3 linked regions of the Xenopus tropicalis genome follow. The protein of the gene in region 1 interacts with the protein of each later gene in a pairwise test. Links are inferred from orthologs where the notes say so. Each region holds a gene or a part of one and is shown on either strand. Other genes may lie near its edges.

Region 1 (3,589 bases):
AGTAAACTCCAAGACTTGCGTTAGTTGGCAGATATATGCTACGTGCGCCTGCAATGCTTCCGGGTGCAGACACATTCAGGTTTCTCATGCGTACGGGCGGATTGGCATCTTGCGCTTATACGCAGGCTGACAATCCACTTTGCGGAGCCTTATCCTAAGCATCATTTAAAAACAGATTAGGGATGCATTGATTCCAGGGTTAGGTCTTTTTCAGCAGGATTCGCCCGAATCCTTAAAAATCACATGATTTTTTTTGTCATAAACACGTAAATGTTAATTTTTCCTGCGTGGTTGTCTTTAACCCTTATGCTAATTTGCATATGCAAAATAGGATTTGGATTGGTATTCGATCTAGTCTTTCGCAAAGGATTCAGGGTTCAGCCAGATCCTAAAATAGTGGATGTGCATGACTAAAACAGACCCTACACCAGTAACACCCTACATACCCAACCCTCCTCCTTACATAGGAAGGCAGCATTTAAAGGAACTAACACCAAACAATTAAAGTGTATAAAAGTAATTACAATATAATGTACTGTTATCCTGCATTGCTACAACTGGTGTGTTTGCCTCAGAAAGACTACTATAGGTTTATATAAGTAAGCTGCTGTGTAGCCATGGGGCAGTCATTCAAAGGAGAAAAGGCACAGGTTACTTAGCAGATAACAGATAAAATGCCATTGTATTCTACAGAGTTTATTTGTTATCTGCAATGTAACCTGTGCCTTTTCTCCAGCTTGAATGGCTGCCCCCATGGCTACACAGCAGCTAGTTTATATAGTAGCTTTTCTGTAGCAAAAACACCAGTTTTTTGCAGAGTAAGAGCACATTATATTTTAATTACTTTAAAACACTGTAATTTTTTGATGTTACTGTTCCTTTAACACTGCAATAAAAAATTATTTATTTAACCACCAATAATTGCAGCCCCTGCTTTTATCAACTGATTGTACAACATGGCAACTTTCAACAATAAAACATTTTCAGCAAGAGCTACATCAAGCCCTTTAACGGTACCTGTTGGTGGCTGTCCATAAGAAGTGGCATAGGCAGACTGGCCATAGCTGGCTGTTGTCTGTGCTTGTGTGTAACTGGCATCAGTGGGCTGTGCATAGGTGCCATAACTCTGCTGCCCATAAGTTGCCTGCAAAAATGAATTGTTAAGTTTGTTTTTTTTCAACAAAAAAAATTAGCTTTTAAAGTTGGCAATGGAGCTTATCAAGTACATTCAGAGCACATTCTTACAATGAACTAAAATGCTTTATAACATGATTACCTGTGCAGTCTGTGCGTAGCCTTGAGTTGGTTGTGCAGTATATGCACTGTAACTGCATTAAGAAAAAAAAAAAAAACGCACTGAATAAAGTTATACAAGCCAGGTACAAATACACTCCTATTCCTACCTAGGCTTAACAGCTCATAACATTTGTGACCAGTGCCAGCGCATGTTTTTGGTATAAAGGAAAATTGCATGCCTTATAACGTGAGATCAACTGAAAAGGATCTACCATGTTACATTCTATTTTTGACATTTCACTGCAATAGCACTTCAAAGAAGAAGTAAACCGTTTCTTTTCTGTCTTTAAAATTACTCTAAACATCCCACAGAATAACAAAATGTAAATCTACAGTTTGATATTTCTTGAGCTAGATAGGAAAGCCAACTTCATGTTTGGGCCTTGCAAGGTAATTAGATTACCAGATCTCAGATAATCCCCCTTACACACTGGACTTCTGCTAACAAAACTGTCACATCAAAGGGGGAAGGGAGGAGGTTGTATACTGGTGATGTATCTTGCAAGGACCAACCACGAAGTAGCTTTAATTGCTCTGTTTAGCTAATGAAATAAATATAGATTTGACAAAAAAAACAAAAAGTATGTTCAGCATAAACTGTTGGTGGTATAAAGAGTAGTGTTGCAAGTGGCAGAATGGCCCCTTGTTCAACCTGATTTCAGCCAACAATGCACAGAAATGCTTCTGAATGCATGGTTCATAATATATACAAATAGCTAAACCAAATTACCTTTGTTGGGCTCCAGTTTGGCTATAGGTGCTGTAATCTATAACAGAAAAAATAAAGCTAAGTTAAAAAAGCAACTTACACAGCCTTATACATTCCCAATAATCAATAACAATGCATTTATGTTATGTTGTGGTTAACAACCCTGTAAAAACATTCTAGTGAAGCATATTTAACGCTCACTTTAAAACCTGCAGCACTTTATATCCCTCTATTTGGGTCTACAAGTTACCCACCCACTTAGATTGTAAGCTCTACAGGGCAGGGACATCCATTCTCTTGGACTCTTCACTGAGTAATATTTAATGAAACTGTACTTTGTAGTGGTTTGTATCTATTATTGTAATGACTCGTTCTATTAATTTATTGTTCTGCTGTACAGTGCTGCATACATAAGCTAACGGTATATAAAACATACAAAAAAAAAAATGTAAAGAGACTTCGGTTATATTGGTGGTTCACAGGTTAAGGGGTTGTTCACCTTTAACATTATGTAATTTGTAGAGAATGCTTTTCTGAGAATTTGCTATTGGTGGTAATTTTTTTGAATTTAGCTTTTTGCTCAGCATTCTTCAGTGTAAATTTTCAACATCTACCTAGTTATGAGGGCCCAAATTACCCTAGCAACCCTAGCAGTGGTTTGAATGAGAGGCTGAATTTTTTTTTTTTTTTTTACTATTGTAGTCGGTACATTTGAAAGCTGGAAAGAGTCAAGAGGAAAGCAATTCAAAAACTATAAATAAAAAAAGACCATGCTATTAACAGACTAAAGGTTAAAGGTGGACTACCCCAGTAAACATTATGTGAAGGTAAATAGATGCAGGCGACATTTTTTTCCCCCATATGTAATAAAAGACACTAAGGGGCTGATTTACTAACCCACGAATCCGACCCGAATTGGAAAAGTTCCGACTTGAAAATGAACATTTTGCGAATTTTTCGTACGTTTTGCGATTTTTTCGGATTCTGTACGAATTTTTCGTTACCAATACGATTTTTGCGTAAAAACGCGAGTTTTTCGTATCCATTACGAAAGTTGCGTAAAAAGTTCATCATTTTTCGTATCGTTAAAACTTACGCGAAAAGTTGCACATTTTTCGCGTAAGTTTTAACGCTACGAAAAATGATGAACTTTTTACGCAACTTTCATAATGGATAGGAAAACTCGCGTTTTTACGCAAAAATCGTATTGGTAACGAAAAATTCGTAAAGAATCCAAAAAAATCGCAAAACATACGAAAAAATCGCAAAATACCGATCATTACGAAAAAAACGCAATCGGACTCCATTCGACCCGTTCGTGGGTAAGTAAATCAGCCCCTAAGTTTGTCCAGTAGCAGTAACCTATAGCAACCAATAAGATGTGTTTTCAAACAAGCAACCAGTAAATTCTACCTGCTGATTGGTTGCTATTGGTTACTGCTCCTGGGTAAACTTAGTGCCTTTTATTACATAACCCCCTTTGTTATATGGATCAGTGCACATTCAGGGCTCTGGTACACGGGGAGATTAGTCGCCCGCGGCAAAACTCCCTGTTCGCGGGCGACTAATCTCCCCGAGTTGCCT
Region 2 (4,150 bases), about 60 Mb from region 1:
CGCTTGGCGACCTCACCAAGTGAGCAGATCTTACTGTGTATGGCCACCTTTAGTCCCTCCAGATCAAGTCAGCCCCATATTAGCCAATATATGGAGCCCTCCTGCTGGCCTGTCTGACTGATATCTGGATCCAGTTTGGCCACCACATTACAGAATCCTGTTGGGCCCCTATTATGGTTTGGTTGTTGGACTGGGAGCCAAAATGTTCAGACCATTACAGATTCTACGTGTATTCCCAGTAGGGCTGCACCGAATCCAGGATTCAGTTCGGGATTTGCTTTCGGCCGAATCCATGCTCCTGGACGAACCAAATTCAAAAAATCACGTGACTTTTTGTCACGTAAACACGGAAGTTGAAAATGTAACCCTTCCGTACCCTAATAAGCATTTGCTAATGAAGATGTAACCCTTCCGTAACCTAATTAGCAATCTGTTCGTTATTCAGCCAAATGGATTCGGTGCATCCCTAATTCCCAGCTTTACACTGATATGTGCTTGTCACTTAAATGCACAGATCTGTTCTGGTAGAAGGATACAGAACTGTGTAACCCCCCTAGGGCATAGAGTATGAATAATAGAGAAGAATTGCAGACACCAGGCGGAGATATCTTGCATACACCGGTACTAATATCAGTACAGCACGGAGGCTCAGAGCAATCTGCCAGCCCAGTATAGTGCTTGTGTATAATCCAATGATGGTAGATGGGATAGCGGCCCGCCGGCTGGCATGCTAAGAATGAGGCTGTATTTAATAATATGCCTTGATGGTGTCTCCTCAACGACTGTTAAAAGAAGCAGCTTGAGCCCCGGCGCTTAATCCGTGCATCAGATATAATGTTTCACAGAAGGGGGGGGAACTGGATCATGAATTTCAGCAAAGGAACATTGTGTACGGAATCAGAACCACCAATCACATCGCTTCATGCGCAGAGACATTAAGGTGCCTGCACGGCTTAACCCCCAGCTGCTCTGCTTTATGGTTGCACAATGCAGCCGCACCACCTGTGAGCCCAACATCCCCATCGATCTGCCAACTGACAATGGTTTGGTGTTCACCGACACAGTGACACTATATGTCTTTTTTTGCATTTGGCTCGATGTATATGGGCACAGAACCCCTCAGTGACTTCTAATATCCTTATCATTTACAGTAGGGGGTACATTATCCCTTATAATACATGAGTGATACTCAGAGTTCCCTGTATAACTCAGCCTGCAGCCTTGTGCCTTTATATGGGCACAGAGCCCCTCAGTGACTGCTCATATCCTTATCATTTACAGTAGGGGGTACATTATCCCTTATAATACATGAGTGATACTCAGAGTTCCCTGTATAACTCAGCCTGCAGCCTTGTGCCTTTATATGGGCACAGAACCCCTCAGTGACTGCTAATATCCTTATCATTTACAGTAGGGGGTACATTATCCCTTATAATACATGAGTGATACTCAGAGTTCCCTGTATAACTCAGCCTGCAGCCTTGTGCCTTTATATGGGCACAGAACCCCTCAGTGACTGCTAATATCCTTATCATTTACAGTAGGGGGTACATTATCCCTTATAATACATGAGTGATACTCAGAGTTCCCTGTATAACTCAGCCTGCAGCCTTGTGCCTTTATATGGGCACATAACCCCTCAGTGACTGCTAATATCCTTATCATTTACAGTAGGGGGTACATTATCCCTTATGATAATCTTTAATAACAATAATGTAGAAGAAGCCAGCAGATAGATCTGGAGGAAATCAACTTCTGCTACATTGTTGCAAGAGGCCTCATCCGCCAAATAAAACTACTCCTAGTTACAATCCAGTCTAACATTGGAACATATGACTAGTTGCTAGGCAGCAGCCCTATGCCATAAGAGCGTTGAAAGGAAGCAATGTTTCCTAGAGGCTTACTATTCTCTTTAAAGGGGAAGTAAACCTAAACCTGCCAGTCCCTTTCAGCCCACAGTGGCCTGGTTTATGGGCGGGGGGAGCTAGGCTCAGATATTCCTATAACCTCTCTCTGTGCCCCAGCTACCGAGTCCTACAGCAGTATTGTCCAGTAATCACTGGGGTAAGTGTTGGGGTTGTAGGTTCGATCCCAGTCAGGGCATTATATATATATATTTGTATATTCTCCCTGTGTCTCCTGTTCTACCCATTGGAAAGCATTAGGAGAGGCGGTTTGACCATCCCTACCTGCCACTGCCCATCCCTAGTAGCAATAAAATAACCCCATGGTTATTGGGAACCATTAGGGGTCAATAAACCCTCCTGTACATATCAGCCTCAGCCAGGGAGCTTACAATCAATCAAATCCCCAACCTCTAAGAGGTGAATTAGGAAACCACTATAAGGGTTTGGGCTTCTCTGTCTTTACTGAACTACAACTCCCATCATCCCCTGCAACAACAATAGCCGCACAGGATATGTGTAAGAGCTGACAAACCGTAACTCCCATAGGCCCCTATGGGAAAAGAGGAGCTTTAAAGGCGCCCGTAAGATAGGCAAGCGCCTCACCGCCTCCAGTGTTTGTGCCCCGGAGCCTCAGCCCGTCCCCTCCCTCTCCATGAGCGGCAAGGCAGCTAATCCCCGGGCGGCCTGGGAACTACACTCCCAGCCCAGGCCCGGAGCAACCCCTTCCTTCCCGCCTATTTCCTTACCGAATTCGAAGTGAAGAAAAGCTCCGTTTCTTCCGGCACCCCCCGCCCGCTCCACAGCGGCCCAGGCCGCGGACAACAAGAACCCCCAGATACGGGCCGCGCCTGCGTACCAGCAGCAACAGCAGCAGCGATCCAGCCTACATCCGGGCCACTGAGCAGGGGGTGGGCGGGGCCGGCATGGAGCGGGAAGGAGGAGGCGGGGAAGCGTGGAGAAAGGAAAAGGCTAGTTAGGGAAAGAGGCGTGGCTGTATTAGAACAGGGCGGAATTGCCAGTCTGTGGGCGGGGCCTTACTAGCGCAGTAGTGCTGCATTCTGGAAGAAGCCCTGCTTACTGGATTGCTTCTGCTAACGGGGCTGGTTACGCTCCCAGGCCTGCTGCTTGATTTTGGGAAAGCCTCTGCCTTTTATTTATATTATTAACCCTTTGCTTTAGTCTCACAGTGCCAGTACAGCAGCAGCCAATCCTAAACCAGCAGCCAGGGCCGTCAAAAGTAATCATGCGGCTTCAAGTATTAACCCTCCAGTCACCTGGGCCCCAAAGGTGATGAACCCTGTAAAATGGGGCCCTTAAAAAAACAAAAAGCTTCTATGTACATGGTACCTATATGGGGCCCCTGACTGCAGAGAATATAGCCCCTGTACATGGCACCTATATGGCCCCCTGACTGCAGAGAATATAGCCCCTGTACATGGCACCTATATGGGCCCCTGACTGCAGAGAATATAGCCCCTGTACATGGCACCTATATGGGCCCCTGACTGCAGAGAATATAGCCCCTGTACATGGCACCTATATGGGCCCCTGACTGCAGAGAATAAAGCCCCTGTACATGGCACCTATATGGCCCCCTGATTGCAGAGAATATAGCCCCTGTACATGGCACCTATATGGGCCCCTGACTGCAGAGAATATAGCCCCTGTACATGGCACCTATATGGGCCCCCTGACTGCAGAGAATATAGCCCCTGTACATGGCACCTATATGGCCCCCTGACTGCAGAGAATATAGCCCCTGTACATGGCACCTATATGGGCCCCTGACTGCAGAGAATATAGCCCCTGTACATGGCACCTATATGGGCCCCCTGACTGCAGAGAATATAGCCCCTGTACATGGCACCTATATGGCCCCCTGACTGCAGAGAATATAGCCCCTGTACATGGCACCTATATGGGCCCCTGACTGCAGAGAATATAGCCCCTGTACATGGCACCTATATGGGCCCCTGACTGCAGAGAATATAGCCCCTGTACATGGCACCTATATGGGCCCCCTGACTGCAGAGAATATAGCCCCTGTACATGGCACCTATATGGCCCCCTGACTGCAGAGAATATAGCCCCTGTACATGGCACCTATATGGGCCCCTGACTGCAGAGAATATAGCCCCTGTACATGGCACCTATATGGGCCCCTGACTGCAGAGAATATAGCCCCTGTACATGGCACCTATATGGGCCCCTGACTGCAGAGAATATAGCCCCTGTACATGGCA
Region 3 (4,109 bases), on another chromosome or scaffold:
AAAGTTACCTACTTTCACAACTGGTCTGAAACTTTATTCAGCACCCTGAAAAAAGTATAGGTATAAGTCACTTTTAAAAAGAGACGTAAAGGTAAAAATCACTAGGAGGTGTGACCACCAGTAATTCTACTCATGAAGCTGGTGCCCGAGTCCAGTAATCATGAATACAGGAGTATAGCCCCAACATTTTTATCCTATTTATGGTGCATCCCATGAGCAGCACAGCGAGTCCAAGATATACTGTACTACACATGTGCACTTGGGCAGAAAAGCATGGCGGCAGGGTGCTCAGAAACAAGCTTCCTGGGCACCAGCCTGTGCATGCAAGTTGGGATTTTTACCTTTACTTCTTTAATCAGGCTGTAACACCACTGCACCACAGTACCATGTAGTGAAATGGCATTTGTTACATGAACTCTAAAGCCAAGTTGGCCAAAACACAACTAGCCAAAAATTTAAAGGATATTTACATCTTCTATTGGAGTCCGCAGGCTCATTCCATTGGCCAACTTGGCTACAAAGTTCTAGAAAAAAGTAACATGGAAAAGTTCACAATGTAACTTGTTTTTAAGCTAGCCACAGGTCAAGCCAGCAACAGCCAAGCATCTAATTTCAGACAGCTTTAAAGGAAACATGTGAAAATTATGAAATACAGAAGGATTGTGCTAAAAAAAAAGTTGTGTCTTGGACTGATTGAAAGATTCCCCCAAAACCCTAATAGTCCTGCCCATCTGTTTCACTAGATGTGAAGGGGGGCTGGCAGCACTCTGTACACTGCACTGTAGGATAGGAACCAATCGGTTTCCCATCAGGTTGGCTGACCTGATAGGGAACTGAAGCCTTTGCTTGTGTGACTGCCGGACTGTGATTGCCTATTTCCCCATTACTGTACTTCTGGCAGGGATCTTAAGGACACGCCTACCCCTCATTTGAAGCACTGACAGGAACCTGAGGATCTATAGGGAGCTCCAATAAAAGTAAAGCCAGCCCCAAATATTCATAATTGCCTACAAAATCAGTTTTTTCTTCATTTAGCCAATGCCCCCTTTAAAGTTAACAGGTCAAAGGTTACAGAATCACTACTGCTAATCACCATCAGTAAGCCAATGGCCATCAGAGCTTAGGTCAAGCCCCTTAGTTTACAGCAAGTCTACAGATGCAACTTGTAAGGCTTATACAATCAAATATGTAGAACAGTTTCAGCCCCACACATCTTAACACCTTCAAAATGAAAATTTAAGTAAATCTAGGAAAGTAAATAGTCTGCCAAATCTTACCAAAATTAGCATTCAATATAAAAGCACCACCATAAAATAGATCAGAATATGGAGTTCCAGGACCTTTAATAATTGCACTCAGCCGGAGGTCTTGTATCTGGGTATCTGTGCATATGTATGTAACACAACCAATCTGGCAATTCCAGAGGAGCCGCTTTAAAATACCATAAACCGTAACTATTCAGTGGGCTACTGTACTTTAAATACCAAAACCTATTTTAAAACCCAGTCCAGAGCTACATACATGTATTCAATGGGGCTTTATATATAGTTTCTAAATTTGCCTTCTAACCGGTCCAGCTTTCAGATGTGGGTCTCAGATCCCAAGAATCTTTGCTCTATATGGCCACAATTGTATTACTTTTCACTGATTATCGTACTATTCAGACCTACAATTCATATCCCTGCCCTTTGTTCCAACCACTCCCTGGTTGCTAAGGCTAGTAGAACCCTACCAACCCAATAGCAGCTGGAATTCCAAACTGGAATGTTGAACAAATTGAAGTTAAAAGACCCAACAAAAGAGACCAATTGCAAATTCTCAGATTACACTCTACCTCATTCTGAGTAACTCAGGTGAACAAACCCTCTATAGCCCTTTACCCATCAACCCTCTAGCACAGTCCCAGAGAATCTACAAAAAGCGATCTAACACATGGTTGTGTCGAATAAAATAAATGAAGTTGGTTTAGGATCGACCCCCCCCCCCCACTGAGCAGGAGGAATGGCGGGACACTAGAATCTCATGTCTCACAAGAGACAAGGGGAGCCGTTAGCATGCGGCCATGGCCCACCCCATTACTGAGAGACTGCTCGATACAAGCCGGCAGGAAGAATGGCGAGCCGTGGGCAGTGGGAAGAGCGCGGCGTGGGACACACGTGTTCCGGCTCCAGCCAGGCCCGGCTTTGTGCTACCGGCATGTGGGCGGGGCTAGGGGCGGGGCATCGCCTGGGGAACACGTGGCCGCTGGCTTCTCAGCACGGACGCGCTACTTACGTCACGATATCTCCCCACGCGTGAAATTCCCCGCAGTGGACGCCCGTGTGCGAGGCTCCTAGCCGCCATTATACCACATCCCTTTAAAAAGGACGAGTCACTGCTGTACTACAGCATTATCGCCTCCCCGGCACCCTAGGGGTTCTGCAGAACCGCTCAACAGAGACCCAGGCCCTGCGGCGTTTAAGCCCTAAGTGAGCAAATTCCAGCCATTTAACGGGGCGGCCATGGGGCGATGTGCTAGTTCGCCGCCATTGAGAGCGTAGAGTGTTAAAGAGTTAAAAGGCCGCAGTGGCCTCACAAAGCGCTCGGCTATAGCGCACAGCCCACCCACTCCCCATAGCTCTTCTCTCGGCTAGTTACCTCCATGTTGCAGGTGCTCGCTTCAGCCATGTTTGTCAGTCTCTCTCACGAATCTAAAAAAGAAACTCAAAGCCACGCCACCGGCTTTGTACGAGAGAACTGCGACATGCGCTTCGGCCCCTTTGCCTTTTATATAGAGAAGCACAAGCCCCGCCCACACACGGCACCGCCCCGGCGTCCTTCGCGCGTTTTTTTCTACCCCTCAACAAGAGCAGATTGTGCCTTTCTTCGCGAAACTGATCCGCCCCCTCCCATCCCCGTACTCCCATTGGCCAGTTTCTATAAATCTTGGCCCACTCACTGGCAGAGGGCTCCGCCCGTCAGTTCGTTCGCTTGGCTGATTGGTGAGTTTGTTTAAAACGTAAAACATTGCGTAATAAAATGGAGTCTTTGTATGTTGAGCTAGCTTAATTTTAGTAGTTCGAGTTTCGGCCGAGCGGTACTGGAGTCACAATACTATTCTTGAAAAAATATTTTATTAGCCTGGGTTATATGACAGAAATCACACATATATCCTCCGAGGAAGAACTGGACTCAATATAAGCCTTATCAGTATAAAGTGAGCTGACAAATCTGTGCACACGACTCCATGCCTATGTTATTGTCCAATGTGTCCTCTCCAGTCATAAGATTCCATGAAAGCAGAAACCTGTAAAGTGCATCACATCTCTACTGTTTTGGTTGCTAATACTCTGAATTAAACAGATAGATATAAAATACTTTAGGGTAAAGTAAAGGCTTCCCAGAAATGTATGAATGTTTATTAAAAAACATAAACTTTCCAATATTTATAATGTAAAATATAATCTATATATTGGAAAGTTTTTTTTGTTAATAAACAAATGCATTTGTAGACTATTTGAAAGAAATTGCTTCCAGTGCCCTCAGCAGTATCAGCCTGACCCATTGGCAATACTGCAGGTAGTCACTAGCACATTGGTGATAAGGGTCATTAGTTGGTATTTGGTTTTAGCTAGTTATTTTTATCATAAACAGGTCTATATACTAAAACTAAATGCAAAGGTGAACATTCCCTTGAAATTAAGCCAAATAATAGGTTCCCAAACTGCAGAGTGCCATTGAGCCCTATGGGAGACTTTCCTTGGGCCAGGTTGGAGCTGCAGAGTGCCATTGAGCCCTATGGGAGACTTTCCTTGGGCCAGGTTGGAGCTGCAGAGTGCCATTGAGCCCTATGGGAGACTTTCCTTGGGCCGGGTTGGAGCTGCAGAGTGCCATTGAGCCCTATGGGAGACTTTCCTTGGGCCGGGTTGGAGCTGCAGAGTGCCATTGAGCCCTATGGGAGACTTTCCTTGGGCCGGGTTGGAGCTGCAGAGTGCCATTGAGCCCTATGGGAGACTTTCCTTGGGCCAGGTTGGAGCTGCAGAGTGCCATTGAGCCCTATGGGAGACATTCCTTGGGCCGGGTTGGAGCTGCAGAGTGCCATTGAGCCCTATGGGAGACATTCCTTGGGC

The links. The genes of interacting proteins can lie anywhere in the genome.
Region 2: the proteins of ewsr1 (region 1) and smad4.1 interact in binary tests that used the Homo sapiens proteins (3 or more experiments, as listed by UniProt). The link is inferred for Xenopus tropicalis from reciprocal best matches to the Homo sapiens genes EWSR1 and SMAD4.
Region 3: the proteins of ewsr1 (region 1) and prmt1 interact in a two-hybrid assay, tested with the Homo sapiens proteins (2 studies listed by BioGRID and IntAct). The link is inferred for Xenopus tropicalis from reciprocal best matches to the Homo sapiens genes EWSR1 and PRMT1.

Annotation. Positions count from the first base shown.
Region 1 is NC_030677.2:144,953,183-144,956,771, forward strand, and holds part of ewsr1 (RNA-binding protein EWS), read right to left. Parts: intron 2,064-3,589; coding exon 2,027-2,063; intron 1,329-2,026; coding exon 1,277-1,328; intron 1,145-1,276; coding exon 1,018-1,144; intron 1-1,017. UniProt on the Homo sapiens protein: Binds to ssRNA containing the consensus sequence 5'-AGGUAA-3'. Might normally function as a transcriptional repressor. EWS-fusion-proteins (EFPS) may play a role in the tumorigenic process.
Region 2 is NC_030677.2:205,056,679-205,060,828, reverse strand, and holds the start of smad4.1 (mothers against decapentaplegic homolog 4), read right to left. Parts: upstream 2,817-4,150; 5' UTR 2,654-2,816; intron 1-2,653. UniProt on the Homo sapiens protein: In muscle physiology, plays a central role in the balance between atrophy and hypertrophy. When recruited by MSTN, promotes atrophy response via phosphorylated SMAD2/4.
Region 3 is NC_030683.2:111,004,731-111,008,839, reverse strand, and holds the start of prmt1 (protein arginine N-methyltransferase 1), read right to left. Parts: upstream 2,817-4,109; 5' UTR 2,668-2,816; coding exon 2,638-2,667; intron 525-2,637; coding exon of another isoform or gene 471-524; intron 1-470. UniProt on the Homo sapiens protein: Arginine methyltransferase that methylates (mono and asymmetric dimethylation) the guanidino nitrogens of arginyl residues present in proteins such as ESR1, histone H2, H3 and H4, FMR1, ILF3, HNRNPA1, HNRNPD, NFATC2IP, SUPT5H, TAF15, EWS, HABP4, SERBP1, RBM15, FOXO1, CHTOP, MAP3K5/ASK1, MICU1 and NPRL2.